Linked DNA regions of Xenopus tropicalis. The protein of the gene in region 1 interacts with the protein of each later gene in a biochemical or structural test. Links are inferred from orthologs where the notes say so. Each region holds a gene or a part of one and is shown on either strand. Other genes may lie near its edges.

Region 1 (16,620 bases):
AAAGGGGTGGTTCACAATTAAGTTAACTTTTAGTATGTTATAGAATGGCCTATTCTAGGCAACTATTCAATTGGTCTTCATTTATTTCTTATAGTTTTAGCTCCATTTACCTTCGTCTTCTAACACTTTGCAGCTTTCTAATGTGGGTCACTGACCCCAGCAGCCAAAAAATGATTGCTCTGTGACTCTACAGTTGTTATTGTTCCATTTTATGACTATTTATTCCTCCTATTCATATACCATGCTCTCATTCATACTGCTCCCTGGTTATTAAGGTAATTTGGACCCTAGCAACCAGAAAGTTGCTGAAACTTCAAACTGCAGAGCTGCTGATCAAAAAGTGAAATAACAGAAAAACTACAAATTAAAAATGAAGACCAATTGCAAATTGTCTCAGAATATCATTCTCTACATACTAAAAGTTAATTCAAAGTTGAACAACTCCTTTAAAGTCTCGTGCATTTTAAAGCTGTGAAAAACTAAAATGAAAAACTAAACTGAACTGAAATCTTACAGTCTCTAAGATAAAACATGTGTGCCCCTTTTCAGTGGGATTTGTAGGAGACAGGATGGCCACAGAACTAGCTATTTAGTGCATAAAATAACTGTCAAAATAGTTGCCTGCAGGCCAGATGTTTACCTCCTGTTGAGTTTTATGATCCCTGGCCTGTAGAAGGCTTTCACAGATCCTAATATAGAACAATTTTATTTCAAATAAACCATCAGGTATTTTCTGTATAGAAAAATTAGACTTCTGTATACTAGTAGGAAAACACTAGCCTAAACAAAAGGTGACAAAGTGCCATCTTTAAAGTAGCTTAAGTCCTGGACAACACATGAGAAAGGAAGAGCTCTCATATGGTAATACTGCTCCAATGGGCAGAAATAACACCGCCTCATATTTAACCAATGAGGATACGTGAAGCAGGCCCTTTTGATCCACAAGCTTTTACTCCCTGTCAGCTAAAAGCCTTTTATAACAAATGTCTGCTAAACATGCAAAGATTTTATGTATCATTTTATTAAATATAGTTCCAGGGAAAGATCAACTTGGCAAGTAGGTGAGCTTTTTTTGTGTTGAACATAAAATCATGTTGTTTTTATTAAAAACTAAGCAGGATCATCTCCTTCTTCCTTTCATTTTATATTTCATGTTGGTCCTTAGAATTCCCAAAGTTTATTGAGCAAAATTTACAACATTGCACACTTTCAGTCTAAACGTAAATGCGCCATATTAACTATATATTATATTTGTAAATACACAATGGACTGGGTAAACCAAAGGACTAGCCAGTGGTGTAACAATGGCACGCCAGGAAAAACAACAAAACTTTGAAGGGGCCCAGTCAGCACCTAACCAGCTCCCACTCCACCCACACTCCCGGCCGTTTCCCCTGCTCCCCCACTGTTCTGCCAAGTAGGTGAGAGTGCGGCTGGGGAGAGGGTCTTTCTTACAGGTATAGATGGAGACCCTTTGGTCTGGGCCCTCTGTGACCACAGGGTCCGCTTCCTCTATAGTTACTCCATTGGGACTAGCAGAGACCTCTAAAGCCATCCCAATAGCAAATGAAAAGCTTGACAATGGAGTAAGAACAGCACTTACAGCTGAAAGCATAAAGTTTAGGCATCCTTGCCAGATAACATATTTGGTTAATTTAAAGTATTACAAAAAAACACCACACCTGCAAATGTTCATTGTGTATTTACAAATATAAGCTAATATGGCACACAATTTGGTTGCCCATTCAACCAGGACCCTTTGTGCTTCTTGGTCTTAAAAGTACAACCAAACCGCAGACAGACACGTAAAGCTACCTCTTCATTATACTTTTTACAGGCACAGTGTTTTGCTCCTCAGCACCTTTTTACAAAGCTAGTACATTAGTTGAATGCAAAAGTTAGGTCATCCCTTGCCAAATATTTCCAATTAAAAGCAGTTTCCTTGGTCTTCCTGATCTTTCTTTGACTTCCATAGATCTCCTCAACTGCCATTACTTCATTACATTACAGACAGTGGAAGTTGTGAGCTACAAGCATTTTGCAATGTTCCTTTTTTTAAATTTCTCTTCCTTCGAAGGCATCAATGTGCTTCATTTTCTGATCCTCAGTTGCTAAGAAGAGCCCATAGCCGCTGAATGACAGCCCAAAGTTTTGAGGTGTAATAGATTTTATTTAAGTTTGCAGTTGTCAACAGGTGAATACTGCTAATGGCTAGTAAGGCCTAATGATATAACTAGGGTCAGGGACTTACCACTGGACAAGTGGAAGAGTGTCCAAACTTTTGTACATCCCACCATTACTATATTCTTTGCTGCTATATATTTGAAAGTTTGCGTCAAATAACTGTGCATTAATCTTTGCAAATATTTGGCAAGGGATGACCTAACTTTTGCATTTAACTAATGTACTAGCTTTGTAAATAGGTGCTGAGGAGCATAACACTATGACTGTAAAAAGTATAATGAATGGTAGCTTTACGTGTCTGTCTGCGGTTTCGTTGTACTTTTAAGACCAAGAAGCACAAAGGGTCCTGGTAGAATGGGCAACCATATGGGTTTTACTCTGCATAGCCTTCATCTTGATGCAACTCTTTCATCCGGTTTACAATATGGACAAAAATAAGTCACCACTTTGTCCTTACGCAGATTAAGTTTGGTTATAATACCTTGTACAGATAAATAGGTAACGACCCATAGCAAGGATATCGTAGCCATTAATGTAACTTTGCAATAGACCAGCTCAAATGGAGCCTGCTGTACTATTAATAAAACCAAATAAAGACTAAATCCATTTACAATAACTTGCCACTTAGACTACGTTGAACAGATGTGTGACATATACCTGTCCCCTAATTTGTAACCAATTATTTATTGGTTATATTTATATTGTATGTGATTTTCATCTGTGCTATATGGCATTGTTACCCTGTCCCTGTAACAAATGTGTGGATGTCCCAACTGCTTGATTTAAATCTGCACATGTTCTCCAGTTTAGAGAGCACTCAGTGGTATCACCTTTTGGCCTAACTGGTATAATAGAGAAACCTCTTGTAAACCATGTGCAAGAAAATGTTTAAGTCAAATTATCAATCAAAACATTTTCGGTTGGCTATGAACTGTGTGGTTTACAGTATGGCCATGCATTCTTGAGGTATAAATGTATGTATAGTCCCAGCACATACCGTTCCATTCTGCATAGTCTTTGACTCTGGCTTCTTCCGAACAGTAGTAAAACTCCATTCTGGGTGGGTATGGTTTTCTTTGTTGTTTGATTCTCTGCATTTAAGAATTAAAAAAAAGGATGCGTTACCACAGGCTATGCTCTGAGCAACATAAACACACGTATTAAACCCAAACACAACTTTTACTGGTGGAAAAAATAGAAATTGTTGCAGAGCTCTTTAGTTGGAATCAGTAAGCAGGGGTGTCAAACTCAAATCACACAAGGGGGCCGAAATCTAAAACACAAGCTAAGTAGCCGGCCAAATTTTTTATTAAAATACTGTACAGTCGATTGGTGCTGCACAGTCACCAGGGGCCACAAAAAACAGCCAGAAGGGCAGTATTCGGCCCACGGGCCATGTTTTTGACACATGCGAGATAAGGGGTCTGCCATGTCTGAAAGAAAGCTGGTTTATTTTAAGTATAAATGCATTATCTACTGCATAAACCATACACTGGCACTGTTCTATTGCCCAATGGAAAAAATAACTGAAAATAGCCAGAAATGGTAAAAAGTATTATTGCAATTCTTTGTATGTGCTAAGCCAACAAAGTGATTTTTTATCTGAAGAAATTCTTGAATAAAGTATCAGGAACCGAAGCAGTGTTATATCACTGTTAAACAAAGCTGATTTTTAAAAAAGGACACAAGTGGGCGCCGTTTAGCTTATTTGAAGCCATGTACTAAACCTTCAAGCTTAAGCAACGCGAGAATTTTTGTCTCTCCCAAAAAATAATTTTACTTACCATATATACTCGAGTATAAGCCAAGTTTTTCAGCACCAAAAATGTGCTGAAAAAGTATCCCTCGGCTTATACTCGAGTATATGGATTTGAAGATGTAAATTGCTGGCATTCATATTCGTTGCGCACCCCCCCTCCCCCTATTCCCCAACAATCACTGCACAGGGAAACTAGCTCCTCTCTCATATGCATTTTGTCACTTTGCGCCTCTTGTGTTTTCAATAAAGTATTTTGTGAAAAAAAAATTTCCCTTTGCTTTGCTGTGGAACGGGTGCCCTCTGGTGGCAGCTGCTGAGCATTACAGGGTTCCTGCTGTAAACTTGCGCCCTGTGGCTGTGACAGAATGGGGGAGGGAAGAGCCGTGACGGGTTGTGCGCAGGTAACGGGGAGTCAGTGTGAAATGGAATTGGGAAAAGGCCGGGACGCTGCCAGTCCGGGTTGTGCTGCATTCACTGCCTTAGAACAAAGTTGGCACAGGGGGGTTGAAGGTCGGGGCAGTGTGTCATGCACCTGGGAAAGCCCTGCCAGTACCGGGCACTAATGGGTCACATGACTCGTGACATGGGGTGCTAGCGGGGTTACCGGTAGGTATGGGGCAGGAAACTAGTCCCTGCAGGCTGAATAAGTCTCTATTCATAACTTATAAATAAGTCTCAAAGGCACCTAATGTACGAGCCTCTGGCACATACTGACACCTTCTCTCATTGTAAGCAATTGCCTTTACAAAGTACACATCTAATCCAGTTGACTAAAATGACCACTAATAGATATATTATGGCCTGAATGAATGAATGAAAACCTTCAAAGGGTCCTCCATCCACCTTTCCCTAATCACCTTTCCCCTAATCTGCAGCTGCCAACATGATATAGTTATGAAGAGTTTACAGGGGGTCACGCTGAGTGTTCTTTTATTATTTATTTGATTATTGAAACTTAGCAGTAGCGGCTGCATTTCCCACCCTAGGCTTATACTCGAGTCAATAAGTTTTTCCAGTTTTTTTTAGGTAAAATTAGGTACCTCGGGTTATATTCGGATCGGCTTATACAGGAGTATAAACGGTAATCAAATGTTAATGTTCTGTTTTTTTGAATAACGGTATATCAAAAATGTAGTAGTTCAGCAAGAATTATTAAAGAATAATTAAATCCTAAAAAGCCTTTTAAAGATTGAGTTTCTATAGGTCATCTTATGCTGCACTTGCTCAGTTTGCTCTGGGCTGCTGCTGAGAAGTTAAGCATGGGGAGATGTTGTAAATCTATTAGCAGAAAATGGGGTTACATTTGTCACAGAAGCTGAAGGTTACTGTGCTGAACACTCTGATGCAGAATTCACTGCTTTCTATGATGATAGAGGGGCTAGATCATCGACAAGTCCGAGCAGACACACCTTACGGGCTAGAATCCAAAGCAACAGGATTTGCTAAGTCATATATTTTACTACTTTGGACCAATAGTTGTTTATGGTGGGGCACTCCCATATTAGGTGGAAGAACCCAGTATCAGGGGACTGGCATTTCAGACAAGCGGAAATAGGGTTTTTTGCCTATAGCCTTAAGCTTCTGTGGGGCGATACAAGTCCTATGAATACTATATATAAATATAGTAATAAAGTTACTCTTATGTTTTTTGTTCGTCTGCAGGATATATTCAGGCAAACAATCATCTGTGTGCAGCTAACAGAGTAAGCTGAAATATACTGTGGCCCTAACCAGTGATTTAAGGGGTAGGTACTAAGGGTAGAAACAAAACAATGCCTTACATAAAAGAAAATATAGCCTTTTAATAAGGGAGAATACATAATACATTTTAGTAGTATACAGATCATATTGCACATAGGTGTACAAGGTCCATTTAATAAAGCAGTTTCTATTAAGGCACTTACGTATCCGAGTCATCAGAGCCTGAATCACTGTGCCCTTCTGCTTTCCATCTTTTGAACCGGTCAATAAGCTCAGTCAGGTAAGATGTCCTCTTGGCATTCTTCACAATATATTTGTGTTTCAGGAGTTCTCTAGCAGTGGGACGCTGGATTCAAAATAAAAATTGACAGTCATTTTACTTCATTTTTAATATGCCCAGGGCTAAAAATATTTGCTTTATTTGATTACTACTGATGTTACAGTGCAGGTGAGGTTAGTACTGGGGAAAAACATTCACACCTACTACTGGTTTTTTTTTTTTTTTCTGTTAAAATGTTGTCTGGTTAGTTTCACTATATATTCAACATCCAAAAAGTCTCGGAGCAGCCTTTATGTGCAAATCAGCCTCACACACCCCCTTACGTTGCCACAATACTTACAAAGCTGGGATCCTTGTTCAAGCAGGCATCTACAAACTCTTTGAATGGTTTACTGAAGTCCCCTGTTAAGGATGGTGGATTATTTTTAGGAATCAGGAACAAAACCCTCATGGGGTGCATATCAGAATTTGGCGGCTCGCCTTTGGCTAGTTCTATTGCTGTAATACCTAGAGACCAAATATCAGCCTGAAAAATAAATGGGAAACAAAATTAACTTCAATGAAAAATTAACTGCAATGAAAAAATGCTATTGTTTGTTAGCACCCACACACGCTGTTATTCGTTGAGGCTTCTGTCGTACCAAGAAATAAAATCATTAATATTCTGTTAATCTGGTTATAAGAACAGATTTGGTTATAAGATCTGACTATTGCATGAATCACTAGATTTTGTAGCCTAAAACATCATGGCCAAACAATCACATTACTAAAGGCCCCATGTGGTGAGTATTTAGGCTGTTTTCACACAAAAAAGCCAATAATAAACATGTTAGGCGTGGATTCTGCCTTGAAAATCCAATAATTTGAAATCCACATCATGTGCAACATCAACACCATAATACGTCATTTTTGGAAAATGTTTTAGCTGGTCCTAAGTTTATAGTAAGCTTACCTTGGAATCATAAGCAGACTGCTGTATGACCTCTGGAGCCATCCAAAATGGTGTCCCTACAAAGGTGTTTCTTTTTATTTGTGTGTCTGTAAGCTGCCCTGCGACACCAAAGTCTGCGAGCTTGACATCCCCCTGCTCAGACAGGAGTACATTGGCAGCTGGAAGATAGAATACACTACTTAGAACAGACTGGAACAACCGGGAACCAACAGACTGGAAAATCAAACATTCCCATACCTTTGATGTCCCTGTGAATTTTATTCTCAGAGTGCAGATAGTCAAGGCCTTTTAATATTTCTTTAAGCATGGTAGCAATCTGGAACTCATCAAAAGGACCAACACGAAGCTAAAGGTTGAAAATTACAATGCAGAAATAAAAAACACTTAAGATGCATATTGTTTGTTTGTTAAACTTACCCTGATATTAAAATAATTGCAGCTAATCATTATAAGGTGTATATGTTCTGCATATTACAACCTTGGGCCAGGATACAAGTTCCAGAACAGCACCCCTGCTATATTGATTTTTTTTTTTTTCCAGTTTTGGCTTATGATATGAGGCTATTTCAATTTATAAAAATAGTGTTGAAGAGGTCATCATTTCAATTAGTCTCAGCTTCAGTGGAGCTTGCACTGTAGCTTCCCCATCACATTCACACAACACACCTGAAATGTAAGGAGACGATTATTCTGCCTGTATGGATCAAAGTGCTGATTGGGCTTACTGGCAACTGTACATAAGGTTTGCCAATGTGTCTTGCCAGCACAGCTGCCTTTATAAATGTGATTTACTGATTTCAAACTCCTGTTCCATATGCTGTTCATATTGTGTGCAAAGTTATTAATATCAACATTGACTTATTAAGCGCCAACATATTCTGCAGCGCTGTACAATAAGTAGGTTTCATACATTTGACATACAAAGTAAAATATAAAGCAACCAATAACGGATACAAGAGGTGAAGAGGGCCCTGCCCAAAAGAGCTTACAATCTACAAGGAGAGAGGTTTGAAACACAAGGTGTGGGAATGGGCAAGATCAGAATCAAGCAATGGGAGAGGTGTGGCACAGGTTGCTTGTAGCAGCACACTGAGGTTATGTTAAACTAAATGAGGGTAAGCTTCACTAAATAAATGCGTTTTTAGAGATCGGGAGTAAGTCTGATAGTTTGTGGGAGCGAATTCCAGAGAAGGGGGGCAGCCCTTGCAAAGTCTTAAATGCAAGTGTGAGGGAGGAGTTGAGAAGTAGGTCAGTAGAGGAGAGTAACAAACAGGTTGGTTGTTATCTAGAGATAAGTTCAGAGATGTAGGGTGGGGCAGAGTTATGAACTGCTTTGAATGTCCTAGTCATTAGTTTGAATTTTATCCTTGATGGTAGGGGAAGCCAGTGCAGGGATTGGCAGTGGTATGGCAGAGGAGAAATGTTTGGATAGGTGTATGAGCCTGGCAGCAGTATTCATTATGGACTGGAGAGGGGACAGTCTCTGAAGGTGAAGGCCAATTAGCAGAGCGTTACAGTAGTCCAGGTGAGATATAATAAGAGTGTGAATAAGAATTTTGGCAGCATCTTATGCACTTTGGTAGAAATAATATAAACGCTAGTTATACACTAAATGGTAGTGTGTTGGGGGTATCCTTAATTGAGAAGGATCTGGGAATTTTTGTAGATAATACGTTGTCTAATTCCAGGTAGTGTCATTCTGTGGCTACTAAAGCAAATAAAATACTTGCATAAAAAAGGGCATTGATTCAAAGGATGAAAACATAATTTTGCCTTATTTATAGGCATCTATCTGGTAAGACCTTACCTTGAGCATGTAGTGCAGTTTTGGGCTCCAGGATATTAATGAGCTGGAGCGAATGCAGAGACATGAAACTAAACTAGTAAAGGGGATAAAAGATTTAAGCTATGAGGTTAGACTGTTAAGGTTGGGGTTGTTTGCAAAGGGACATGATTACTGGCAGATAGGGGGTGTTCTTTTTTGCCATAATAGCAATCAGCGCACCAGAGGCCACCCCTTTAGATTAGAGGAATGGGATTTTCATTTGAAGCAGTGTAGATGTTTTTCATGGTGAAGGCAGTGAGGTTGGGGGAATGTCCGTCCAAGTGATGTGGTAATGGCAGATTCTGTTAATGCCTTTAAAGAGGGGCCTGGATGAGTTCTTGAAGAAGTATAATACCCAAGGCTATTTTGATACTAAAATCTACGGTTAGTATTGATGTTTGTATATATGGTTTATTTACGAGTGTATAAATAGGTCAGTACAGGTGTGTGTGTGTGTGTGTGTGTGTGAGCTGGGTTTACTTGGAAGGGTTGTACTTGATGGACTCTGGTCTTTTTCCAACCCTATGTAACTATACATAAAAACACACAGTGTATATTGCATTGTACAAGTTAGTACACATTTTTTTTTACGTTTTTAAAGGTTTAAAATAGTATATATTTTTGTTGTACTTGAAGAGTCAGCGGATTTACTGCTGAAGTTTGTTGCTGGAACGAGTAGTAGTTTTTTGTACAACAGCACCATTTAGAAATGGAAGCTAGTCTTTAATTTACTACTGCAGCCAGGCAATGGTTTAAATGACAGACTGGAAGATGAATAAAGAGATCAGTAATAAACAGTAACAATAAATTGAATCCTCACAGGGCAATGGGTTTTTGGCTGCCAGGGACAATGCTCCCAATCAGACAGCTTGCAAGAGAAAGGAGGAAAATAATCCAAAAAAAAAAAACCAAACAAACAAATTGAAGACCAATTCAAAAGTTGCCAATAATAAGAAATTTAATAAGACACTAAAAGTTAACTTAAATGTGAACTACGATTTTAAGTCCCCAAGTCTTTTGCTCTTTTCGTCTGTAAAAATGCAGAATACTGCTGTTATGGACCCCAGGGATTGATGCACTTACACACCCATTTGGCTCCATGGGCAGGCAATCTGACTCAAGTGAAATATGTGGACTGTATTTCCCACAGAAGTATATGCAAGTGTCACTTGGGAAAGTGAGAAGTGGATTGTCTCATAAGGGGATATTCAGTATACTTCTTAATGAAAGTAAAAACCATTTAAATGGAGCTTATCACTGTAAAGCAAAAACACAGCCTACAAACTAGAAAGGGAAGTTTGAGAACAAACTTCATGTTGGGTTGAAAAACATGAAGTCACTGAATGGGCTCCGCCCACTTTCTCTAACCTTGGACCACAGTTATACAGTAAAAACCACTGTGCAAAGTTTGGGGACCCTGGTTTTAATAGTGTCTGAATGGCAGCAACCTAAATTTCCGTACTGAAAGTCAACAACATCTGATTGGCGGTTGGTAGCTCCACCCCCTTTTTCTAACCTGGAACTGCAGTTAACTAGTGACTAACTCTGCAAAGTTTAGGGGCCCTAAGGATTAATAGTTAAACGACGGCAGCAATTAAAATTTAAACCAATAAAAGTCAATAGGTGAATTGTGATTGGTGGCTCCGCCCACTTTTTATAACCTTGCGTCAAAGTCACCCAGTGACAAACAGTGAGCACCCTGGCATAAATAGTTTGAGAATGACAGCATTTTAAATTTAAACCAAAAAAATTCAATGGATGAAATCTGATGTTAGTGGCCCAACCTACTTTTCCTATTTTTGAACTGCAGTCCCCCAGTGACCAACTTTGCAAATTTTGGGGACTCAGGCATAAAAATTGTGAGGCTGACAGCATTTTACACTTCACCATTGAAAGTAAATAGGTGAAATGTTATTGGCTGTTGGTGGCTCTGCCCACTTTTTTTCTAACTTTGAATGGCAAATACCCAGTGAGTAACTCTGGAAACTTTAACAACCCTGGAATTAATATTTAAATAATGGCATCAGTTTAAATATAAACCAATGAAATCTAATGGGTGGAAATGGATTGGCTGTTGGTGGCTCCTCCCACTTGTTTGGGAACCCTGACATAAATAGTGTGAGCAAAGCAACATTTTAAATATAAACGAAAAAAATTCAATAGGTGAAGTCTGATTGGCTGTTGGTGGCTCCACCCACTTTTTAAAACCTAAAAATGCAGTTCCCTAGTGACCCTGGTGTTAATACTGTGAGAATGGCAGCAGGTTGAATTTCCTATTGAAAAGCAATAGGTAAAATCTGATTGGCTGTTGTTGGCTCCACCCACTTTTTCTAACTCTGAACTGCAGTTACCAGGTGACTAGCTCTGCAAAGGTTGGAGACCTTAGTATTAATATTTAAAGAATGGCCGCAGTTTAAATTTAAACATATGAAGTCTATAAGTGAAATCTAATTGGTTGTTGTTGGACCCGCCCACTTTTCTAAACTTGGAACATAGTCACCCAGTGACAAACTGTGCAAAGTTTGGGGACCCTGACATTAAACATGTGAGAATGGCAGCAGTTAAAATTTTCCCACTGAAAACAATGAAAGAAATGTGATTGGCTTTTGGTGGCCCCGCCCACTTTTTCTAACCTTGAGTACAAAGTGACTGACTGTGCAAAGTTTGCGAACTCTGGCATCAAACCAATAAAATTCAATAGGTGAAATCTGATTGGCTGTTGATGGCCCCGCCCACTTGTTCAAAACTAAAACTGTAGTCCTCTAGTGACCAACTGTGAAAAGTTTGGGGACCCTGGTGTTAACACTGTGAGACTGGCAGCAGGTTGAATTTCCCCATTTAGAGTCAATAGGTAAAATCTGATTGGCTGTTGGTGGCTCCACCCACTTACAAAAATACAAAAAACCTTAAATGCGTAGTCACCCAGTGTCTGACTATGCAAAGTTTGGGAAGCCTGGCAACAAACCAATAAAAATTAATAGGTGAAATCTGATTGGTTGTTGGTGGCTCCGCCCACTTTCCAAAACTAAAATTGCAGTCCCCTAGTGACCAACTGTGAAAAGTTTGGGGACCCTGGTGTTAATTCTGTGAGAATGGCAGCAGATTGAATTTCCCCATTGAAAGTCAATAGGTAAACTCTGATTGGCTGTTGGTGGCTCCACCCACTTTTTCTTACCTTGAACCACACTTACCTGGTGCCTAACTCTGCAAAGTTTCATTCAGGCTGAGCCCATGACGGTGTGATTCAAGTTTAGCCTCAAAGCTGTAAGTTTGGCAGCAGTTTCAATTTCCCCATTAAAGTCAATGGGTACAATATGATTGGCTGTTGGCCCCTCCCACTTTGCGGTTTAAAAAAAACAAACAAAAAAAAAAAAACCCTGAATGTGTAGTCACCCAGTGACTGACTGTGCAAAGTTTGGAAAATCTGGCATCAAACCAATAAAAATCAATAGGTGACATTTGATTGGCTGTTGGTGGCTCAGCCCACTTTTCAAAAACTTAAACTGCAGTCCTCTAGTGACCAACTGTGAAAAGTTTGGGGACCCCGGTGTTATTACTGTGAGAATGGCAGCAGGTTGAATTTCCGCCAAATCAATGGGTAAAATCTGATTGGCGGTTCACAGCTCCGCCCACTTTTGGGCATCCAATAATCATATTATTTTCATTCAGGCTGAGCCCATAACTATGTGATTCAATTTGGGGAGCGCAGCCTCAAAGCTGTAACATTGGCAGCAGTTTCAATTTCCCCATTAAAGTCAATGATTAAAATTTGATTGGCTGTTGTTGGCCCCTCCCACTTTGGAGTCATCCAACAAATGTTGCTGCTTCATTCGGGGTGACCCCATGATTATGTTATTCAAGTTTGGGGGGTGTAGCTTCAAAGCAGTAAGTGCGGCAGCAGTTTGAAAATCTTCCCTGTCAAAGTCAATGGGAAAATTGGGGGGTTCGGAGTGGCGCCACAAAAAGACGGGGGGCGGGATCGCTTAGAAAAGCACAAGCAACCTGCTCCGCTATAGGGCGAAGATGTGTGGGGAGTTTGGGTGTTGTACCCCTAAAACTGTAGGAGGAGTAGCGTTTAGAAAATGGGGGGAGCTAAGAATAAGAAGAAGCGGAAGAAGAAGCGGAAGAATAAGCCAAAGTCGAAGAACAGTATGTTTGGGTTTTCAACCCAACATAATTACAGAACACACAGTCATCAAATCCAAGGTTAATAAATGTTAGAATTTGCGGACTTTAGCCTGAAAGATGCCTTGGCCTAAAGAATACGTGTGCAATTAAAGAATGCAATGCAGTTATGTAAAAACTATACCTGGGAAAAAGTTTTTAAATTCATCCTTGGAAAAAGTCTAAATATCTAATACATGTATAGAATCCCTTACCCAGAAACCCACTATCTAGAAAGCTCAGAATAACAGGAAGAGTTCATTATAAGTAAACAATTATATCTATATTTTTTTTTTATAGTACAGGTATGGGATCCCTTATCCAGAAACCAGTTATCCAGAAAGTTCTGAATTACGGAAAGGCCATCCCCCATAGACTCCATTATAAGCAAATAATTCTAATTTTTTTAAATGATTTCCTTTTTCTCTGTAATAATAAAACAGTACCTTGTACTTGATCCCAACTAAGGTATAATGAGTCCTTATTGGAGGCAAACAATGCTATTGGGTTTACTCAATATTTAAATGATTTTTAGCAGACCTAAGTTATGGAGATCCAAATTACAGAAAGATCCCTTTATCTGGAAAACCCCAGGTCCCAAGCATTCTGGATAACAGGTCCCATACCTGTAACTAAGCTGCATGGATCCATAATGGTGGCAAAATAATCCTATTGGGGTTATTTAATGTTTACATTTTTTTTTTTTTTTTTTTTAGAGTTATAGTATGGTTATCTAAATTTTGGAAAGATTCCTTATCCGGTCACCCCAGGTTGCACACATCTGGTTAACAGATCCTATATCGGTGTATTACCATACAATAATGAAACACCGTACTTCCTTAAGGGTAAGGGCACACTGCATATTTTCTGTATTATTGTCAATGTTTTAAAGATTTTGTAACGTTAAGCAGTTTATTTTTATGTATTCTTCTTTTAACAGGTGAAGAGTATCATAACTACACCATAAAAATTATTTGGCACCTAAATTTCCCAATTAATATTGTATTGTCTTCAGATAGCCTAAAGTCTTAGCAATGTATTTGTGCATATATATTGAGGTGGCCCAAATTGGGCTAAATGGCTATATTAGTTTTGTGCACAAAATAGTTTAATGTCTTTAATCGTTTATTAGAAAAAAAAAACTCAAGATGAATGCCCTGCTAACAAGATAAAAATACAAACCCAGAAATAACATCAAACCTGCCCAAAGATTACTTTGAAAGTTATAACTTGTGGGTGAATGTGAGAAGAGGTGGAAAGAAGGGAATGTGTGCCACTACTGTTGGCTTTCCCTGATCCTAATAAATGATGTACACACATAAAAAGAAAGTACATTCAATGCATGCACTGCTTAATGTAACCAGTAACTGCGCGTGTGGCAGGAAATTACAGCCATGACATTTTCAGGGGAAGGAAAACCTTAACTCAGAAAAGCATGAAAGAGTCTTTATTTAATACAGGTGTGTTGGGCAATGCCCACGGAAATGAGCTCCCAGTAAACAAACTCAACTCAGTTTCCTTTACAGAAATTGGCAGCACCCCTGTGGAACAAGAGTGTAAGGCTGACTTTGCTCTGCTTTTTTCCCCTCAATGAAACAAGGACACTTATGTTCTGCAAGCTGATGGCTTTTAAACATTGAAATCAGAAGCTGCTGAAAAGCTGCTTTGTAATATCACCAAACTGTATTCGCTGCTGCATCTTTCATAACTGGAGTTATCAAAAGTACATGCAAAGTATGATGAACCATAAAGAGGGGTATGCCACAAGTTTTGGCTGGAAATTCCTCCTTAGATCTGATTTCAGCCTGCTATTTGATTGCCCAGTTATATACTTTTGCATGTTTCTATTTTTAGGAAATGCTTATGAACATTTTTCTGGTAAGGCTTTGAGTATGCAGTGCAGTTTTGGGCCCCAGTCCTTAAGAAGGATATTAATGAGCTGGAGAGAGTGCAGAGACGTGCAACTAAACTGGTAAAGGGGATGGAAGATTTAAACTATAAGATTAGACTGTCAAGGTTGGGGTTGTTTTCGCTGGAAAAAAAAGTGCTTGTGAGGGGACATGATTACTCTAACATCAAGAACAACAACTTTTACTGAACTGTCACAAGAAAGGGTTAACCCCTATTTGCTGAAATGGTATCATATACCCTTAATGAGACTACTTAAAAGGGAACTTCTCCATTACATGTGATTGTAGTATTCTACCTAACATTTAAATTATCCTTAATTTTTTTTATCTTTGATGAATTATTAGTTGCAACTCTAAATGGAGAGTGCAAAGACATACAACTAAACTAGTAAAGGGGAAGGAAGATTTAAACTGAGGTTATACTGTCAAGGGTGGGGTTGTTGCAAAAAAAAAAAAAAAAAAAAAAAAAAAAAGGCACTTGCAAGGGGACATGATTACTTTGTACAAATACATTAGGGCAGTGCTGTCCAACTTCTGCGGTGCCAAGGGCCGGAATTACTCGCGCATACATGGTGGAGGGCCGCTAATGGAAGCCAGTTTTGACCACTTCCCCCTTTTAAACCACACCCACTTCAAACCATACCCATTTTATCACAATGGTGTTAGTGCAGAAAAAACCCAAATGCTTGGTCCTCACTGCAGGGATATCAACCATCATTCATATGTGAAATAATTATATTATGTCATATTAAGACACACCCTAAAATCCATATGACTTCTCCTCCCCTGTGGATAGCACAGCAACCCCCAGCATATAATTACACACCTTAGGGACCATTTAATGGCTATTTCCAACTGCTAACAAACTCCCAGAACAAACCCCTGCCAGGTTCACCTCCCACAGGCAGCATAGGGTAGAAAGAGTATGGCACACACAGGCAGCACTCTGCCTGGCCTACGCTACCTGTGTGTGCCATACTCTGCCTGCCCTATGATGCCTGTGTCTGCCATATGCTGCCTGTGTGTGCCATACCCTCCCTGCCCTATGCTGCCTATGTGCCATACTCTGCCTACCCTATGTTGTCTACACACAGGCAGCATAGGCCAGGCAGTACATACAATCTCTGAGGTGTGAACAGACGAACAATGTGGGTGATTACAGGGGGTGAACAATGCATAGATTAAAAGGTGTGAACAGTACAGGCGATTACATGTTTAAACAATATAGGGAGATTACAGCCTGAATCTGAGGTGAGAACCATGCAGGGGGGGGGGGGGGGGGCAGTTCATCTCAGTACCGATACCATTTAAATCTTACACAAGGGTAAAACATCAAAGCAGCCAGGGGGGGTCGAGGGCCGCATGCGGCCCGCCAGTTGGACAGCACTGCATTAGGGGATTATAGGCAGATAGGAGAGGTTCTTTTTTTCCTCATAAAAACCACCAGGACACCAGAGGCCTCCCCTTTAGATTAGAGGAACGGGACTTTCATTTGAAGCAGCATAGGGGGTTTCTCCCACTGTGAGGGCAGTGAGGTTGTGGAATGTCCTTCCGAGTGATGTTGTGATGGCAGATTCTGTTAATGCCTTTAAGAGGGGCTTGAATGATTTCTTGAACAAGCATAGTATCTAAGGCTACTGTGATACTAAAATCTACAATTAAAATTGATGTTAGTATATATAGTTAATGTATGTGAGTGTATAGCTAGGTCAGTATAAGTTTGTGTGTGTGAGGTTCACTTGGAAAGGTTGAACTTGATAGACTGTTTTTCTTTAAACCCAGCTTAACTATGTAACTTGTCTAGGTGGTTGGAAAAACAGTGCTCAGTAATGAATAATTCGGCAC
Region 2 (16,620 bases), on another chromosome or scaffold:
CCTAGACCTCTGCAAACAGTATTTCCACATGTCTCTGTAAGTTGCACCACTTGTTTTTCCCCAAGACCAGACCTGCTTCTGTGATGCTGTGATTATAATTTAGGCTATGCCAACAATGTGGTTTGTTATGAGTTTATAAGCTCTAAATAAACTTTCGGCTGAACCACCCAAAACGCTTGTCACCTAAAAATAATGTTGGGATTGGTGATAGGTGTTTGATATTCTCCAACTTAAAATAACTGCAAATACATTTGTCCACTATAAGCTGAATAAACAGCATTAGAATTGGCAATATGTAGTTGTTGTGAGAGGAGGTCCATATAGAGAACTCAGTGGTAAGATGTGGAGGTATAATAAGAGTGTATTAACCATTTATACCGACTTAATGCACAGAACCCTTTGTATTTGTATAATGAGACTATTCAGAGCAGAATACAAAACAATGTACCCCCTATTGTAAAATATAAGGATATTAGAAGCCACTGAGGAGTTCCATGACCATATAAAGGCAGGAGGCCACAGCCTGAGAGCTGTTTTATAACTCATGGAATTCTGAGGTTAAAGGAGAAGGAAAAATCACTGGGGGATGCCAAATGTTAGGCACCCCCAGTGGTTGTAATTGCTTACTATATACCCCAGGCTGGTGCTCCTGTTAGGAGAAAACCACCCCAGCCCAGGGTAGCTACAAAGGAGTGATCCTCTTCCGTCTCTCTTCATTCTGAATCCTGGGGCCGGCGCATGCGCAGTAGTATGAAACTGCAGACTTTCTGTTAAAGTTCGACTTTTCACTCTACTGCGAATGCGCAAGTGACGGAAAGACAGAGGATTGGAGAGGATCCTTCCCTCGCAGCTACCCCGGGCTGCTGCAGTTTTCTCCTAACAGAGCACCAGCCCAGAGCACCAGCTGCCGATTCAGCGCTGAAGGGAGATTTTGGTCAGGCGCCTTCTATGGTGCCCGATCAAAATTTTCAAACTGGTCCGATCGGCAAGTTGGCCGATATCAGCAGCTTCCTGCGATATCGGTCGACTCGCCGACATACCATACACGCACCGAATATCGTACGAAACGAGGTTTCGTACGATATTATCGGTGCGTGTATGGCCACCTTAAAGTCATCTAGTCTGTCTAAATCTGCAGTTTTATGACTGTAGTTTCTCACCTTGTGTGGCTATATTAGTGTATTTACAGATTTGTGAAATCATAGGTATAATCATTGCATACTGATGTAGTCCTAAGAATAGTGCCCATATGAAAAAAAAGGTAGTGCAGAGTAATTGAAAGTATTAACCATTCTTTTCTTTTATGCCTGCAGATAATAAACTCTGTTTGAGCCTTTCCAGCACTGGTTGCTAGCCTGAGACTGGGAACCATTCCACCATTAAGGTAAATATATGGGCTTAGTTGTCCATTCACTAAACAGGGCAAACAGTGAAACTGAAAGTACAGTACTTTCAATTTGAAATGAAGGGGGGCTTTTTTTAATGCAGAGCTCATTATCTCTTTTTTGACTATTTTTAGCTAAAAGAAAAGGCATAATGGATTTTTTAACAGTCTAACTAAACAGGAAAAATGCAAGAAGGAAATAATTTCCATTAGATGAATACAAATTGAAAAAAAAAAAAAAAAAAAAAAAATATATATATATATAAGTCAAGCTGTGTGTCCACACAGGACCAGCACACCATTTCACAGCAATTCTTCTATTTATTCATTGGAACGCACAGTGAATTTTATAGATTATAATATATATTATTATATAATATAGCAATATATTATATAATATAGCAATGGCTGCTCCCTTCCTGTCTTTATACACTGTTTCAGGTAAAAAAGGGAATATCCTCCATAACTGGACTTAGTTTAGTTCCATATGTATGGTGCCGTATATTTCCAGTTTCCTTCAATCAGTTGCTAAAGGTGGAATGCATAAGTACAAACCATGTGTTTAATTCAACCTTCTATTTATTACTTATTTATTACCAAGTCAACCACAAATTACACAACATTATTTCCTTTTAGCAATAAGGCAATAGAAGTTTCCCATTGTGCTTTCAGACTGAAATTATATGAAGTTCTTCTGTATATTCTCTCCTGTGCAGAAGTGTAGAGCAGTGTTACCTCACGAACCATGCCGTTTCCCTTTGGGAAGTCCCACAAGTCTCCTGCAGACATAGTGAAGAACCTGAAGGAAAGTATAGCTGTGCTAGAGAAGCAGGACATCTCTGATAAGAAGGCAGAGAAGGTACAGTACTGTTGCTTATGCTCCTTATATAACATGTAGATGTGACTGGTTCCTTATAAACGCTCTCTCCTTATTACATTGTATTCTTCATCCCTCCACTGATACGCCTGTGAATTACCTTTTGATGAATTACAATTCAGTGTCCTTCCCCAAATGCACTTTATTATTATATAATATATGTATAGCCACTGTGCCTCCCTGCTGCCCAATACGTTGTCACTGCCACTTCTGGTTTGGTACCCACCTTTACATAATTTCTCTATTCTCATTTTCTTTACTTCACTTCTTATCCCTCATCTCTCTCTTCCTAGTCCTCCCATTACTTGTTCTGTTAAGACTGTCATAAAGGCACCACCCAGACAGTTTTGCTGGGGAGCTTTGGGGCTCTAAAGGACTTTTGAAATGAACAGTTGGCAGCTATGCATTCTGCTTTTGTTACAGAGGAGAGAACACTGCCATGTGGGCTAACATATTTAGTTGATGGTGGACTTTTCTGTTTAGTTCTTTTTGCCAATTCCATACTTTTTGTATACCAAATACTTCTAAAAAGATTGGCCTAAATACCTAACTGAATCTAATTCCTAATTTTTAAATCTGAGCAAAATTTAAAAAAAATGCATTATCTCATAAGGAATTGTAGCCATCAGTTGTGTAAAGTTTTATTAAAATGAAATGACTTTAAGGACTGTGGTGCATGGGATGTTTTTTCTCCCACAGAAAAGAAAATGCACCTCTTTATCTGTCATTGCTCCTAATAGCTGCACTGGTGAATGGAAAGTGCCTCTTTCCACTGTCTCCGTTTGTATCAATTTTTCTAGCATTTCGGGTAAACTCATCTACCCGTATACACATCTGGGAGGAAGCCATGTATTGCAAGAGGACATAGGCTTTGGAGATTTGCCAAGTACACTGAGTAGCAACAGCTCTTTACCATGTCTCTTCTGGTTTCTGGTATCAGTTTATCATTAGCACTCGCCAGCAGATGAAGCAGTGTCACAACAATCGCCACTGCATGACATCATGGCTGCAGTGGTCCTTGGCCTCATCCCTAGAGCTTGCACTAATTTTTATTGTCTGCCACTTAAGCCACTGCCTTGGTTGCTAGAGTAAGTGGGATTCTATTAACAATATAAATTCTTAAGGGTGAAGACACACTGAGCTACTAGTAGCAGCTACTTTTTCATGGCTTCTAAACTCCAGAAAATACCCTGCCATAGACAATACTAAGAATTGCATATGCTAAAACACACATAGAGACAATTATCAGTAAATGATCAGCATTTTCTATTTTAGTAGCCACGATAAGTAGCTTCTACTAGTAGCTCCATGTGTCTTCACCCTAAGGGCTGTGGCACACGGGGAGAGTAGTCACCTCGAGAGGAAACTTCTGCGATTTCAGGGGAAATCGCGGCGCTGCGTATGCCATCCCACTCGCCGGTGGTATGGCATTTCGGGGAGATTAGTCGCCCGCGACAAGGGAGATTTGGCGACTAATGTCCCCGTGTGCCAGAGCCCTAAATGTAGAACTGCAGAGGCGTTAAATAATATAAAACCTGAGAGATAAAAAAAAAAGTTGCACATCACACAAATGACACCGTTTGAGTAATATGGAGTGTGAGTTATAAATAAATCATATAAATGTAGCTAAACACCTGATGACGACCCCATACATAAAGTTCACTCTCAGTCTGCTGACCACATCCCGTGATTCACACCCACTAATCACGCGTATATAGGCATTTCAGATTGCGGCAGGCTCATCTCTCTGTCATGCAACTCTTTGTTATGTGTGGGTCTGTGTGTGTGTGTGACAAACCCCTTCCCTTCTATGTCACATGGCTGATGAACCCAGAACTGATTAACCTGCTGTTTTGTACCCTGAAACACAATTACATTTACATCAGGCCAACAGATGAAGCTGTCTGCACTTTCCTTTACTGACTTGCCTCCCTTTAACTAACATGTCATATCATTACTTTTCGATAGCACTACCTAGGAGTGTATTTTTTCAGCGTTCCTGCAGCACTAGGTGTAGAAAATGAAAATTTTGATATGACATGTTACATTTATTTAAAGCTCTATTTGTGAATTTACCTTTAGTTCCCAGGCGTTACATTTCCCAGAATGTTTTAATAATGGGTTATGTTAGAAGCTTCTGGGAATTGTTGTTCTGAAACATGTTGTGACCCATTATCCAAGGGCAGCTATTCGCCTGCATTTTTTCTATACAATTGTTCTTACTACAGGGGAATACCGGTGCTGGCAGAAATTATACAACCTTGCTACCTATTTGTACAAGCTTTGCACCTAAGGAACTGCTATGGAGAGTGGTGTTTATAGCACTGTTTGGCTGGCTATGGCCTTGACAGTGCCATGCCCCTGCAGTGCTAGGTCATGCTCACTCCTTCGGGATAAGGAGTGACGGTGGTTATTGAGATGAGGTTAAAATTGCACCCTGAGCCAGTCTGCATTGAATAAATCCATAATGAACATAATAAATGGAATTATAGTGGTACTTTAAGAAAAATTGCTGATTCAGTAAGGTGTGTGAGAGAGAGGTTCTGATATAAGGTTACCGGATGTAACAGCAAGCCTCCCATCTCCTCAATGACTAATCCCTTTTGTATTCTGGTTGGGAAGAGCCTGCTTGCCTTTATAAATTGCCTTTTCTGTGCTGTCTCATTTTGCAGCTGAGAGGAGGGTTGTTACCCCACACATACAGCTCCCCTGCCCTCCAAACCAATTCCCTTAGACGCCCTACTCCAGGCTCAAATGTCTCACTTGCTGCATACTCTGTCGACGACTTACACATCAGCAGCAGAAGCAAAGATGCAAAGAAACTGGCATGGCCCAAAAGGAGATCATTTGTTTCTGGGAAGCTGAAGATGGACAGAACAGCATTTTGTTCGGTTAATACATGTCCCCTTTCACTGGGCTGTCCTTGTAGAGCCTCTTGGTGGAGGAAACCCTCACTGATGGAGTTACTAACCCTCCCCAGAGGACAATCAACTAATGACACATTAGTATGGAAAGCAGAAACTCCTGCCCTGTTAGGATGGTGGGGTGGCACTGTGTGTGGATCTACCTGTCCTATTTATAATGAACTGAAATGGCTAAAGACACATGGGATTGATTCACAGCAGCAATCTGAATCAATTGGTGAAGCAAAGTGATAGAATTTAATAGTACAGAAGAGCTGTGCAGGAATAATTGCTCTGTAACAGAGCTGTTCTGCTTTTTGCCACTCTGTGTTCAGGCCCCTTGGAGATGCAGCACTAAATGCATGTGATAATTCTCCAACCTATGATTGTACTGGCAGGGTCAGGGCAATTACATTGAAAGTCTATTGAGGAGCAATTGCAAGCAGTTAGGCGCCAGCCTGTCAAATTTTAATCCCATGGGCAGCAGTAAGCTTGCCATTGTGCCATTGCCCAAAATATGATTATATAGTTGATTAAAATTGAACATTCACTTTGCTGTTGAACTGTTTACCTTTTCAAAATTGAGGTTTAAGAATTCAAAAGAGCTAGGTTTTTATGTATTTAAATGTATTTAAATATATATAAATATAAATTACTACATTGATAAGAACTGTGTGTCTGCTTCTGAAGTTTTGATATGGTTTATATAAATAAGCCTCTGTGTAGCCATGGGAGCTGCCATTCAGGATCCAATAAGGCGCTTGGACCCTCATTTTCATACAGATACTCTTTGACCACTACAGTGGCTTTAGAACTTAAATGAGGATCACAATTTAGCTTCCCAGGCCAATTTAACGTGCTGATATTAACAATATATTGATACAAAAACTGCACCGTTATCTGTGCCTTTAGCCACTGATGATCACATAATCATTCTGTGAGGTCTCCACCACTTCTTCCCTTCTGTTGTGCCATGGCTCTGTGTCTTTCTGATTTATATGAGAGTAGCTGTTTAAAAAGACCCCATACTACAGACTGAAAGCCTATCCAGGGCTCATAGTTATCCTGTAGATATAAGCTGGGAAAATGTTGAAGAAGATCTTTACTGTTCAAGCAGTTTGTCCTAACATGGTATTTATGGTATTTGCATTACTCTTGTGCTAAAAAGTTAATGTGTAGCCAGGAGCAGCACATTGTTTAAAAACAAAGCAGCCCAGTGATTAGCTGCAAGTATCTTTAGGGTTTAAGTATGGGCCATAGAAAGGGCTTTTTTTAAACAAACACAAAGGCAAACTTTACTTTGTTTCTGTAACTCATTGCCAATCAGCAGTTAACTAACTGCTTTAATACAGTTACCATATTAATAAAATACATGAACACACAAACAAAATATATAAACCCACAAATGATTGTTAGGTCTATATTGTTAGATTGTTAGGTCTATATTCCTAGCTATAAACCATGTTGCTTAGTTTCTGATACACCTTGTAAATTGGTGCCACAGTACTGACCTGGTCTGTTACGCCTATACAACTTCAAAGTCATTTATTTCTCACCTTTTCCACAGGCAACTGAAGAGGTGTCTAAAAACTTGGTAGCCATGAAGGAAATCCTTTATGGGACAAATGAGAAAGAACCTCAAACAGAGGCAGTGGCACAGTTGGCTCAGGAACTGTACAACAGCGGACTTCTTGGAACTTTAGTTGCTGATCTGCAGCTCATTGACTTTGAGGTAAGCAGCAGCAGCAGTATTTTACATATATACTGTACATACATTCCCTAGCAGTGAATTCTATTTGTCACATCCCATAGAGCCACAGGGCCTCATTTACAGGTCCCACGGGTGCATGTACTGGAGCCCTAAGATGTTCAAAATCTCACCTCTAGGACCTGTCCAACACTTGCAGCCTGCACCTTGCACTGCAAGACACAAAACACATTGCTGTGGGCACAACACAGCTCTGAATTTAAGGCCTGCTATAAGCAGGCCCCTGCTATGTGTTTCTTGCCAACCCATGGCTTGCCTTCTCAATGATGTGCAAGTTTGCAGACTTCTATGGGGATGGCTATGTATCAACTCCTTATGAATAGAGCAGTGCTGTGTTCTTTGGAGTGACACAGGAGTTTGCTCTTCAGAGAGGAGCCTATGGGCAATAACAGTATGGCATGGTGCATAGTTAAAAGCAGCACAGCCGTTTGTGCCTGTTTTTTACACTTTTGCATTCTGCCCCATACTTAGTAAATGAGGCTTTCATGCTACAGAATAAATTACCAACTTTTCATTTCAGGGCAAGAAAGACGTGGCACAAATCTTTAACAATATCTTACGGAGGCAAATTGGAACAAGAACCCCTACAGTGGAATATATATGCACCCAGCAGAACATACTCTTCATGCTCTTAAAAGGGTATGTCCTGTGCCTTTTTTTCAGCTGGCAGTCAGTGAGTTTACTATAAATGTGCTTGGCGTTAGCAGGCGGCAGGGTGGTGGGTGTTAAGGAAATTATTAATTATTATTATTTAGTCTTATTCTTTCCATCATGCCTTTGACCTATTTATCAATATATTGAAAGGTAATGTGTAACACTCTTCTATTATGTTCCCAGGTATGAGTCACCAGAGATTGCATTAAATTGTGGAATTATGTTGCGGGAATGCATTCGACATGAACCACTTGCCAAGATTATCCTTTGGTCAGAGCCATTTTATGACTTCTTCCGATATGTTGAAATGTCCACTTTTGACATAGCTTCTGACGCTTTTGCCACCTTTAAGGTAAATACTTTACTGTGCAGGTTTGCAACCAGCCACTGCACGACTGCCTTTAGCTGCTTTAGCTGAGGCCAGCTATATTTCTAAAAGGAGAAGGAAAGGTCAAATCACTGGGGGATGCCAAAATATTAGGCGAGTGTTCCTCTTCGGTCTTCTTCACGCTGGCTGCATATGCACAGTAGAGTGAAAAGCTGAACTTTAACAAAAAAAAGTCTGCTTTTTGACTCTAATATCAGCACCAGCCTGGGGTATCAGGTAGGTTATTACTATCAATGGGGGTGCCTTACATTTGGCACCCCCAGTGATTTTAACTTTCCTTCTCCTTTTAGTCTTGTTGTGGCAGTCATCTCGGTCTCTGTAAAGTTAAATATGTGACAAAGGCATCAGGGGAAAAGAGAAAAATAGGCTGAGCTGAATAGTGGAAAGAGTCCAACACTGAGCCCTATCTGTTTTCCACTTCATCCTTGATGCCTTTGCCACATACTTGACTTTATTTGTTCACCCTTGATGTGTTTTTGATTGTGGTATAATTCTCTTGCAGCATTGCTTAATACACACACAATTACCAACCAGCCCTTATCATTTTTTTTTTAAAAACTATTTGTCCATTTGTTTCACTGCTGACAGGCATCCTAATAGATACATTTCCCTACCAAGGCATCTTATCGGTGTTAATCTGTTCTGTAACTAGGATTTGCTATTCTTTTTGCTAATTTAGCATTGCTTTGAATTCCCTCCTGTTATACTTCTCCCTCTTCTTTCCATTATATAGTGTCGGTGCTTATGCTTAGCCCAGAAGGTCAGCACTTCTCAGGCCTTTGCATGGTACCTCTCTGTGCCTGGCGACAAGCTACTTGCCTTTATCTTTGATCTATGTAGCTCTTCAAATGAACCTTCCAAATCCTTTGCTAGTCTATGAAGGTTAATTATTAACATATCCTAATGCTTTAACCCTACAATCCACACAAAACGACAAAGTGTTGTACATTGCACCCTCTGTTTTGGTTAAAGTGAGCAGCTGTCTCTTTTCTATTTTAATTTAACTTCTAAATTCCAAGTACATGTGTTTAATTGTGATATATAACCGTAAGCTTGTTTTTTTTCCCCCCAGGATTTACTTACAAGACACAAGCTCCTGAGTGCCGAGTTCCTTGAGCAGCATTATGACCGGGTAGGTTGTGAAGCACCCTCATACTACCAATAATGTAATAACAGGTTCAAAGTTGGTTCCAGGCCTTGTAACCCGTAGCAACAAATCAGAATTTTACTTTCAAACAGGTAGTAAATGCTACTTTCTTATTTGTTGCTAAAACTGGAAAACTTTTTTAAAAGGTTTAATAAACTGGCTTAATATGCTGAGTACCATAGAAAGCTGTCAGCATTTATTTATTTTCTTCCTGTTATTGGGTGTGTATTAGTAGATCTATCACAATTAGAACAGATCATTCTAAATAGATTAAGGCAAAGTGATTCACTAGTTGATAAAATAAATTCAAAAATTGTTATGGTTTAAATAGAAGCAAATACTACCTCAGGTACAAGTTACCTGCTCTTTGGGCTGACTCTGACCTTTAAAATCTCATCCTTAGTTTTTCAGTGAATATGAAAAGTTACTACACTCAGAAAACTACGTGACAAAACGGCAGTCGTTGAAGGTATGTATGTGTGTAAGGCAGGTATGTATGAAAGGTATGTATGTGTGTAAGGCAGGCATGTATGTATGTGTGTAAGGCAGGTATGTATGTATGTATGATTAAGTGCTGGGTAAGCATGAAACGCATAAGGCATTGCATGTAAGGGGTTGTTGCTGTTTTTTAATGGCCTAAAATAAATGTGAAATATGTTTTTATCAATTATGAGTGGTATATGAGCCTATATAATTGTGCCTAGTTGCTTTACCCTCTATTGGTCACCAGGGGGAGTTTTCTCTATACCACTTTTCATTACGTAAGCCCATACTTTTTAGTTCTGGGGATCCTCGGTTTCGTCTGTGTTATATGCAGCACTCTGACAAGCCATTTAATGTCTAATAGATAATAGGGTGAATAAATTGGCTTTGACTTTGTATCTTGCTACCGTGTTTTTGATTCCTATAATGCGCTTTTGCTGCAATCCAATGGCTTTGTACCTTCAGCAACTCTAAAATTAACTCCTTTACCCAACCTTTACCCAACCTATTATTTAATTGTGTTTATTCCTGACATTTTTATCCCTCTCTGTTAATTTTGGACTAGTTGCTCACTTTATTCCTGCTCTGATTGCAGCTGCTCGGGGAGCTTCTTTTGGACCGGCACAACTTCACCATTATGACAAAGTACATCAGCAAACCAGAAAACCTCAAGTTAATGATGAATCTTCTGCGTGATAAGAGCCGCAACATTCAGTTTGAGGCTTTCCATGTGTTTAAGGTACTTTCATTTTTTCCCTTTTTCTGAAATAAACTGTACCCTCTCCCGCACTCACCTTACGCACCTTTCTATCATGGCAGCCACTCCTCCTCTTGGTTTTCTGCGCCCCCATACTCTTTTCAGATACTTCCAATGCTCATTTTCCCTCTTTAGCTTTCTGTAAGCTTTTCTCTCCCATTGCTACTTTTCTCACATTCTACATATCTTTTCAAAAGTTTTTTTGCCTTAAAATGTTACCCTTTGAACTCTGACATTCTCGTCTAGTAATTCCTAATAACATAATGTGGATCTTCATAAAATGTTGAATTTGGAGCTTTCTGGATAACGAATCCCATACCTGTATTACCCAGCAGATATTTTGAATGCATAATAGGTTTGAAAGGACATTATTATCTCTCTTATTTTGCATAGTTATCCTTATCCCTGCCGCTAGTAACAGTTTTATACAGGTCTAGGTGTAGCCGGACCCACCTTTCTATAGCTTTAGCTCTACAATACAGGCTATAGCGACCATAAAATATGTCAGCATAGATATATTCTTTAACACAGTTTATCAGGAAAATATATCTGCGCTTTATTGAAGTACAAGGTTTGACTCAAACAATATGCATATGTGTATTACAGGCAAAGTAAGGAATTTTGTCAGATATTTTCAGTATTACTGAGAGGTCATTTTTTTCCCCCCCAACTTGTACAGGTGTTTGTAGCCAACCCTAATAAGACCCAGCCAGTTTTGGATATCCTTTTAAAGAACCAGAGCAAGCTCATTGAATTTCTGAGCAAGTTCCAGAATGACCGTACTGAAGACGAGCAGTTTAACGATGAGAAAACCTACCTAGTGAAACAGATCCGTGACCTGAAGAGACCTGCACAGCAAGAGGCCTGAGATGGACGGAACGAGGGAGGGGTGGGAAGGGAACACAAACCCAGTGCTGGCTATGAAAGTAATCAGCATCCCGTGGACTTTGCAACGCAGTATCTTCACTTTAACCCCTGAACGGTTTCATCTTTATTCTGCTTCTTCCAATTTGGTTTTGAAATAGTAGTCCAGGAGTAACCTCTTCCTTGCTGGAAGAAACCAGGCGGTGCACGTGCTTCCAGCCGCAGAGAGGTTAAAGGATGAATGCATAACTCCCTTTTAGTTCTTTCTATTATCCCATTGCGCATTTATAGCACAAGATGGAATGAGTTGCCATCTTCTCTTCTTCGTTGCATCAGCACGCGATAAGCATTGGCTCCTTCTTGGAGAAGTGGGTGGGGAAGTGAAACAAACTAAGCAAAGGAGATCTGCTGGTCTCTGGCAAGTATATAACTACTAGTCTGGGTTTATACATCTAGCGTTTTTTTTTTTTTTTTCGTATTTTTTTTTTTTTTTTTTTTTTTTTAATAATACAAGGCGTCGCATGCAGAATAACAGCAAAATACAAAAATCTGGTGTCCATCAGCATATTTGCACATAAACTTGTTAGAGAAACCGAGCACAACGTGCGATCTGTGCATAGCTGGTACCTTATGCCTTGATCTCAAACAGAGACAACTAGTAAGTGCAAGAGTGCAGAGCTTTTAATCCATTCTAAAGCTGAGTAGAGCCCACTGCCAGCCAATAGTGGGAAGTTTGTGTGTTTTAACTCAGTACGTGCTGGAAAATACTCTCAACACATTGCAAAATGTGTGTTGCTGACTGCTTTGGCACCCGAGAAGTTAAAATTGTGAATTGGGGGTAATATTTCAACAGGGTTTGTGTACAAACGAGTGTATATTCATTATATATGCCTTTCAACTGCTTTCTTGCTTTCTTTGATGTTTTAGCAGGTATGTAAGACAGAATTACAGAAAAGCAGCATATTATGTCCTTAGGGGGGAAATGTTCTTGTTTCCTGCAAGAGCCAATTTATTTTAGCAAGTGCTGAGTATTTTCCCACCCTTTTGGCTAATAACCCTGCCATGTTTTGTTTTTTTTTTTGTTTTTTTAAATCAGTAACCTCAACTCAATAACGTGAAACCACTTATTACATGCTATGTGACACCTAAGTGGTTGCTGTGGGCTCTTCTAGCCTTGTGTCCTTCATTGGTTTGCTGTAGTTGCATAAAACTAATATATTCTCTTACACAGTTGCCCATTATCAGTCAGAGCCAATGAGATGGGGCACTGGTGCGAAAAACTGCTAAAGACCAATTGAAACGTACTCGGTTAGGGGGCACCCAGAAACAAGTTATTTCAGTGGCATCTCCACTCTCAGGTTCTTGAACATAAAATGCTGTTTTATATCTAAAACACCTTGCAAAAGAAGGTGATCTCATTGGTTTGGGTAGGAAGTGGTAAGATGGAGGCAAATGTCTATTTATTGCTTCACCCTGGGCCTACAGCTTGGTTTGGGACACACAAGATCATCTGAGTAGATAACCCTCAGGCATGATACATGTGTATGCAGTGTGTAACATGAGCAGTTATTCCTGCATGTGTGATTGTGTGGCCTTTGCAGAATATATGTAATGCAGGGGGTCATGTTGGTTCATTGGGGCGTGTATGAGCTTCCTGGGATGTTTGGGTATAAGAATGGCAGCATGCTGTAATGCAGTGAGTGTGTTGTAGAGTAGGCTACATGGCAGGGTAGTTCAGTAAAATTACATACTCCTCATTTAATATACATATATATGTTTTTATTACAATTGTATTCACAGTGTCATTGCTCTTGGAAAAAGACAGAGGCCACAATCTTTACTTTTTGATTTATGTTTTAAAATTCACAGCTGAGGAGTGAGAATCAGGATCCCATACAGGTCACCATTGTTTTGTTTCCCCCCATACACACACAACTTATTTATTGCACGAGGGGTTTTCTGCCTGGGTGCATGTGGCTTGGACAGTGCATGTGGTTTGGTTCCCCATCAAATAACTTTCCTCTCTCGGGCTCGGTTATTTGATGGACTTGTACCCCCCAGAAGATGCTGAAACCAAAGCCTTGGGTGAAGGGATAAATGCTGTGCTTCTAGCAAGATTGCGTCAGTTTCCTTTGGAATTTCTGTGTACATAACGTTTTTGGCCTCTTATTCGTAAAGAAAAAAAAATAAACTGTACAGCAAACAAGCATTGTCATGTTTTTATTCACGTGATTTGCTGCACCAGTAATGGTGTGTGCTGTGAGATATGTGTCTGTATAAAGCAGGGATCCCCAACCTTTTTTTACTTGTAAGCCACATGCAAATGTAAAAAGTGTTGGGGAGCCACACAAGCATGAACCAGGTGTTTGGGGGTGCCAGATTGGCTATTTGGTAGCCCCATGGGGACTGCTGGCCTGCAGGAGGCTTGGAGTAAAACTGTGTCTCTCGGCTTCCAAAACTTTAAATTTTTTTTTTTTTTTTTTAACTTTGTTTTTATTTTGATTCATCATACATATCATTTACAATGTTTGCTGTCATTTTTATCTTGTATTCGTAAACAGTAAGTGTTAGTAAATCATATCTGATTTAACATTTTTTGTAGGTTAGAACTTTAACTTTAACTTTCGGCTCATACCTTGTTTTTCCCAGGCCTTGCAAAAACTTTAAATTTAATAATGGGCACCTACTTCCACATCGCAACAAATCTCCCTTGTGGCGCAACTAATCTCCCCGCAATGCCATCCCGTCGGCTAGAATGTAAATCACCATTGGGATGGCCTATGCAGTGCCGCGATTTACCGAAGTTGCCTTGAGAGGAAACTTTGGCGACTACAGCAAATTACGGTGCTGTGTAGGCCATCCCACCGGCGATTTACATTCTAGCTGGTGGGATGGCATTTCGGGAAGACTAGTCGCCCGCAACAACGGAGATTTGTTGTGGCGCGACTAATCTCCCCGTGTGTCACAGCCCTAAAACTGGTGTGTTTGCTTTAGAAACAATACTATAGTTTATATAAACAAAGCTGATCTGTAGCTGTGGGGGATGCCATTCAAAGAAGAAAGGACTCAGGTTACTTAGCAGATAAGCTCTGTAGAATATAATTGTATTATACAGAGCTTATCTGTTATCTGCTCTTTAACCTCTTCTATCAGTTTTCCATGCAGTGCAGCAGTAACCTATGTTTTAGTTATTTTAGAACACTTTCATTACTTTGCATTACTGTTAATTAAGCTTTTAAAGTATAAGTAAGGCCTAATACACAGGGAAGGGGAAATTTTTTAGGCCCCTCCCAATGTAGTAATTGCCTAACTTTTTTCCCCAGTCTGGTGCTAGTCTTATCTGGAGTTCGCACAAAACTCTTGCGCCATAGTGGACTTGCACATGTGGAGTATAATAAAGGTAGAAACATTATCTGCACTGCGATCCTTGGGGAAAGACCAGCAGACAGGTGTGGTGCTTATATAGAAAGAACCCCAGGGTGGTGTATTTTTTTTTTTTTTGCCAAGGTTCTAACTGACACACAGGGAAGGCACCATACAGATTAGTATCAAGGGAATACACACGCAATAACTCATTTATACACACATAGGCAACAGAAGATGTTTTTGTTTGGGGGCAGCCATGAATAGGAGCCAAAAATGGTAAACCACACCTACTTTAAGGACATACATCCAGCTGTCCAAACAACACTAAAGGCAGAATAATAGATTATAGAGTGGTTGATATGTTTGGGTTATTAGGCCTGGGGCATATTCTGCATGTTGCTACATTCCCAACACTGCAGTAAAGTATATCTGATAGATGATGGAAGCTGTAGGTGACATATGTAACATCCCTATCATTGATTGATATTAATTGTTATCCTCAAAAGGACCTCGGAGGTTTGGTGGTTTGTAAAAGTTTGACTCGTATACGTTTCTCCCACAAGGCAACAATATCTTGTTTATATTATCGAAGCATTACTGCTAGACAGACAACTGGCGTACAGTCAACTCCAGCACATTATAATGTGAAATGAAAGGACAATTCCATTACCATCCAACCATAAAACATATATATACAGTATACATACAGTGAATACATATAAAATGGAAGGTAGATTCAAGTAAGTTATACAGTGATAAGCGATTGGTACTGGCACCCCAAATACATCACAAACTCTGGCTACTAGAACCCAAAGCACTTTATATACAAAGCTAGGCTATGGGTAGTAGCAACACCCAATGGCACCCAAGTACCTTATATACAGAGAGAAGCTGTGGGTACTGGCAGTTGGTGCTCTTCTATGTGACCTAAAACACTGTGTATCTGAAATCATTATTACTGAGTAAATGTGAGTTTACAATGATGGGACTCATGCATCAATGTGCCAGGGGGGAAGGGGTTCTGCACGTGGTTAAGTGGCAAATGTGGGCCCACTGGGGTTCTGTGATGCAGTTGGGGGGCATAAGTTGTCTCTTAACTAGCTGCACCTGTGGCTAACACTCCATGCTACTGTAGGGCCAGTGATTGTTGTTGTCAGTATAGTCATAAGTCTCTAGTGGGGATATTTGTGATTTACAGATTAAAAAGTTTAATTCCCAGGTATCAGCTACTTTTACGTTTATTTTTGACTTTTATGGATATATATTTTTCAGCCAGCAGAAGAGAGATTTTTATTTATGTAGCAATAAAAATTTATTTTTAATACTTTTAGACTGTAGTAAGCTCTCTTTATATATATATATATATATATATATATTTACTACTTGGGAGTCTGTCAAGGAATGCTGGGATTTGCAATTTAAGAGATAGAGCCCGAAACTAATTGCTATTATATTTTATTCTGACAAAGATTTATAAAGTGCCAACATATGCCACAGAGCTGTATATCTAATGATATATAATAATCAATGGCATTAGACACATGGGGGCCCATTTACAAAAATCCAATTTTTGGGGGGCATAAAACACGATAATTTCTGATGTTCTAAAATCTCAAAAAAATGCTTTATCGGTCGTACGAAAAATATCGTAATTGCCTTCTCTAAGTCCCGATATTTTTGTACCAAAAAGTTCATTAAACAACGAAAACCTACCTGGCTTTGAAGCCTTCAATGCCTGGTTTTGGAAGCCTTCCATAGGACTCAATGGCCCTCGACAGATCCAACCTGGCAATAGTCCTGATGAAAGTTTAACAAGAAATGTTTGTATGGGTTATATGGGTTAATGCTCAGGTGCAAATTTGCCCACTCTTTATAAATGATACTGTAGGCAAAATTCAGCTTGCAAGTGACTGTAGCACCCACAGGGTTGCCTTTTTCCACCATGACACCATGGACTACCTCAGCTATGACCCCAATCAGTGTTCCCTTTTATTCCTTCTCGACTATGTGTGCAAAATAATTCTTTTAT

Evidence for each region.
Region 2: the proteins of stk26 (region 1) and cab39 are reported together in a solved structure, tested with the Homo sapiens proteins (2 studies listed by IntAct, with this or other methods). The link is inferred for Xenopus tropicalis from reciprocal best matches to the Homo sapiens genes STK26 and CAB39.

Annotation. Positions count from the first base shown.
Region 1 is NC_030684.2:67,437,407-67,454,026, reverse strand, and holds part of stk26 (serine/threonine-protein kinase 26), read right to left. Parts: intron 7,223-16,620; coding exon 7,114-7,222; intron 7,035-7,113; coding exon 6,877-7,034; intron 6,451-6,876; coding exon 6,265-6,450; intron 5,991-6,264; coding exon 5,848-5,990; intron 3,276-5,847; coding exon 3,182-3,275; intron 1-3,181. UniProt on the Homo sapiens protein: Serine/threonine-protein kinase that acts as a mediator of cell growth. Modulates apoptosis. In association with STK24 negatively regulates Golgi reorientation in polarized cell migration upon RHO activation.
Region 2 is NC_030681.2:127,997,099-128,013,718, reverse strand, and holds the end of cab39 (calcium-binding protein 39), read left to right. Parts: 5' UTR 1-36; intron 37-1,313; 5' UTR 1,314-1,384; intron 1,385-2,100; 5' UTR 2,101-2,129; coding exon 2,130-2,243; intron 2,244-4,933; coding exon 4,934-5,152; intron 5,153-6,731; coding exon 6,732-6,896; intron 6,897-7,452; coding exon 7,453-7,571; intron 7,572-7,769; coding exon 7,770-7,938; intron 7,939-9,046; coding exon 9,047-9,106; intron 9,107-9,524; coding exon 9,525-9,590; intron 9,591-10,199; coding exon 10,200-10,343; intron 10,344-11,040; coding exon 11,041-11,229; 3' UTR 11,230-13,428; downstream 13,429-16,620. UniProt on the Homo sapiens protein: Component of a complex that binds and activates STK11/LKB1. In the complex, required to stabilize the interaction between CAB39/MO25 (CAB39/MO25alpha or CAB39L/MO25beta) and STK11/LKB1.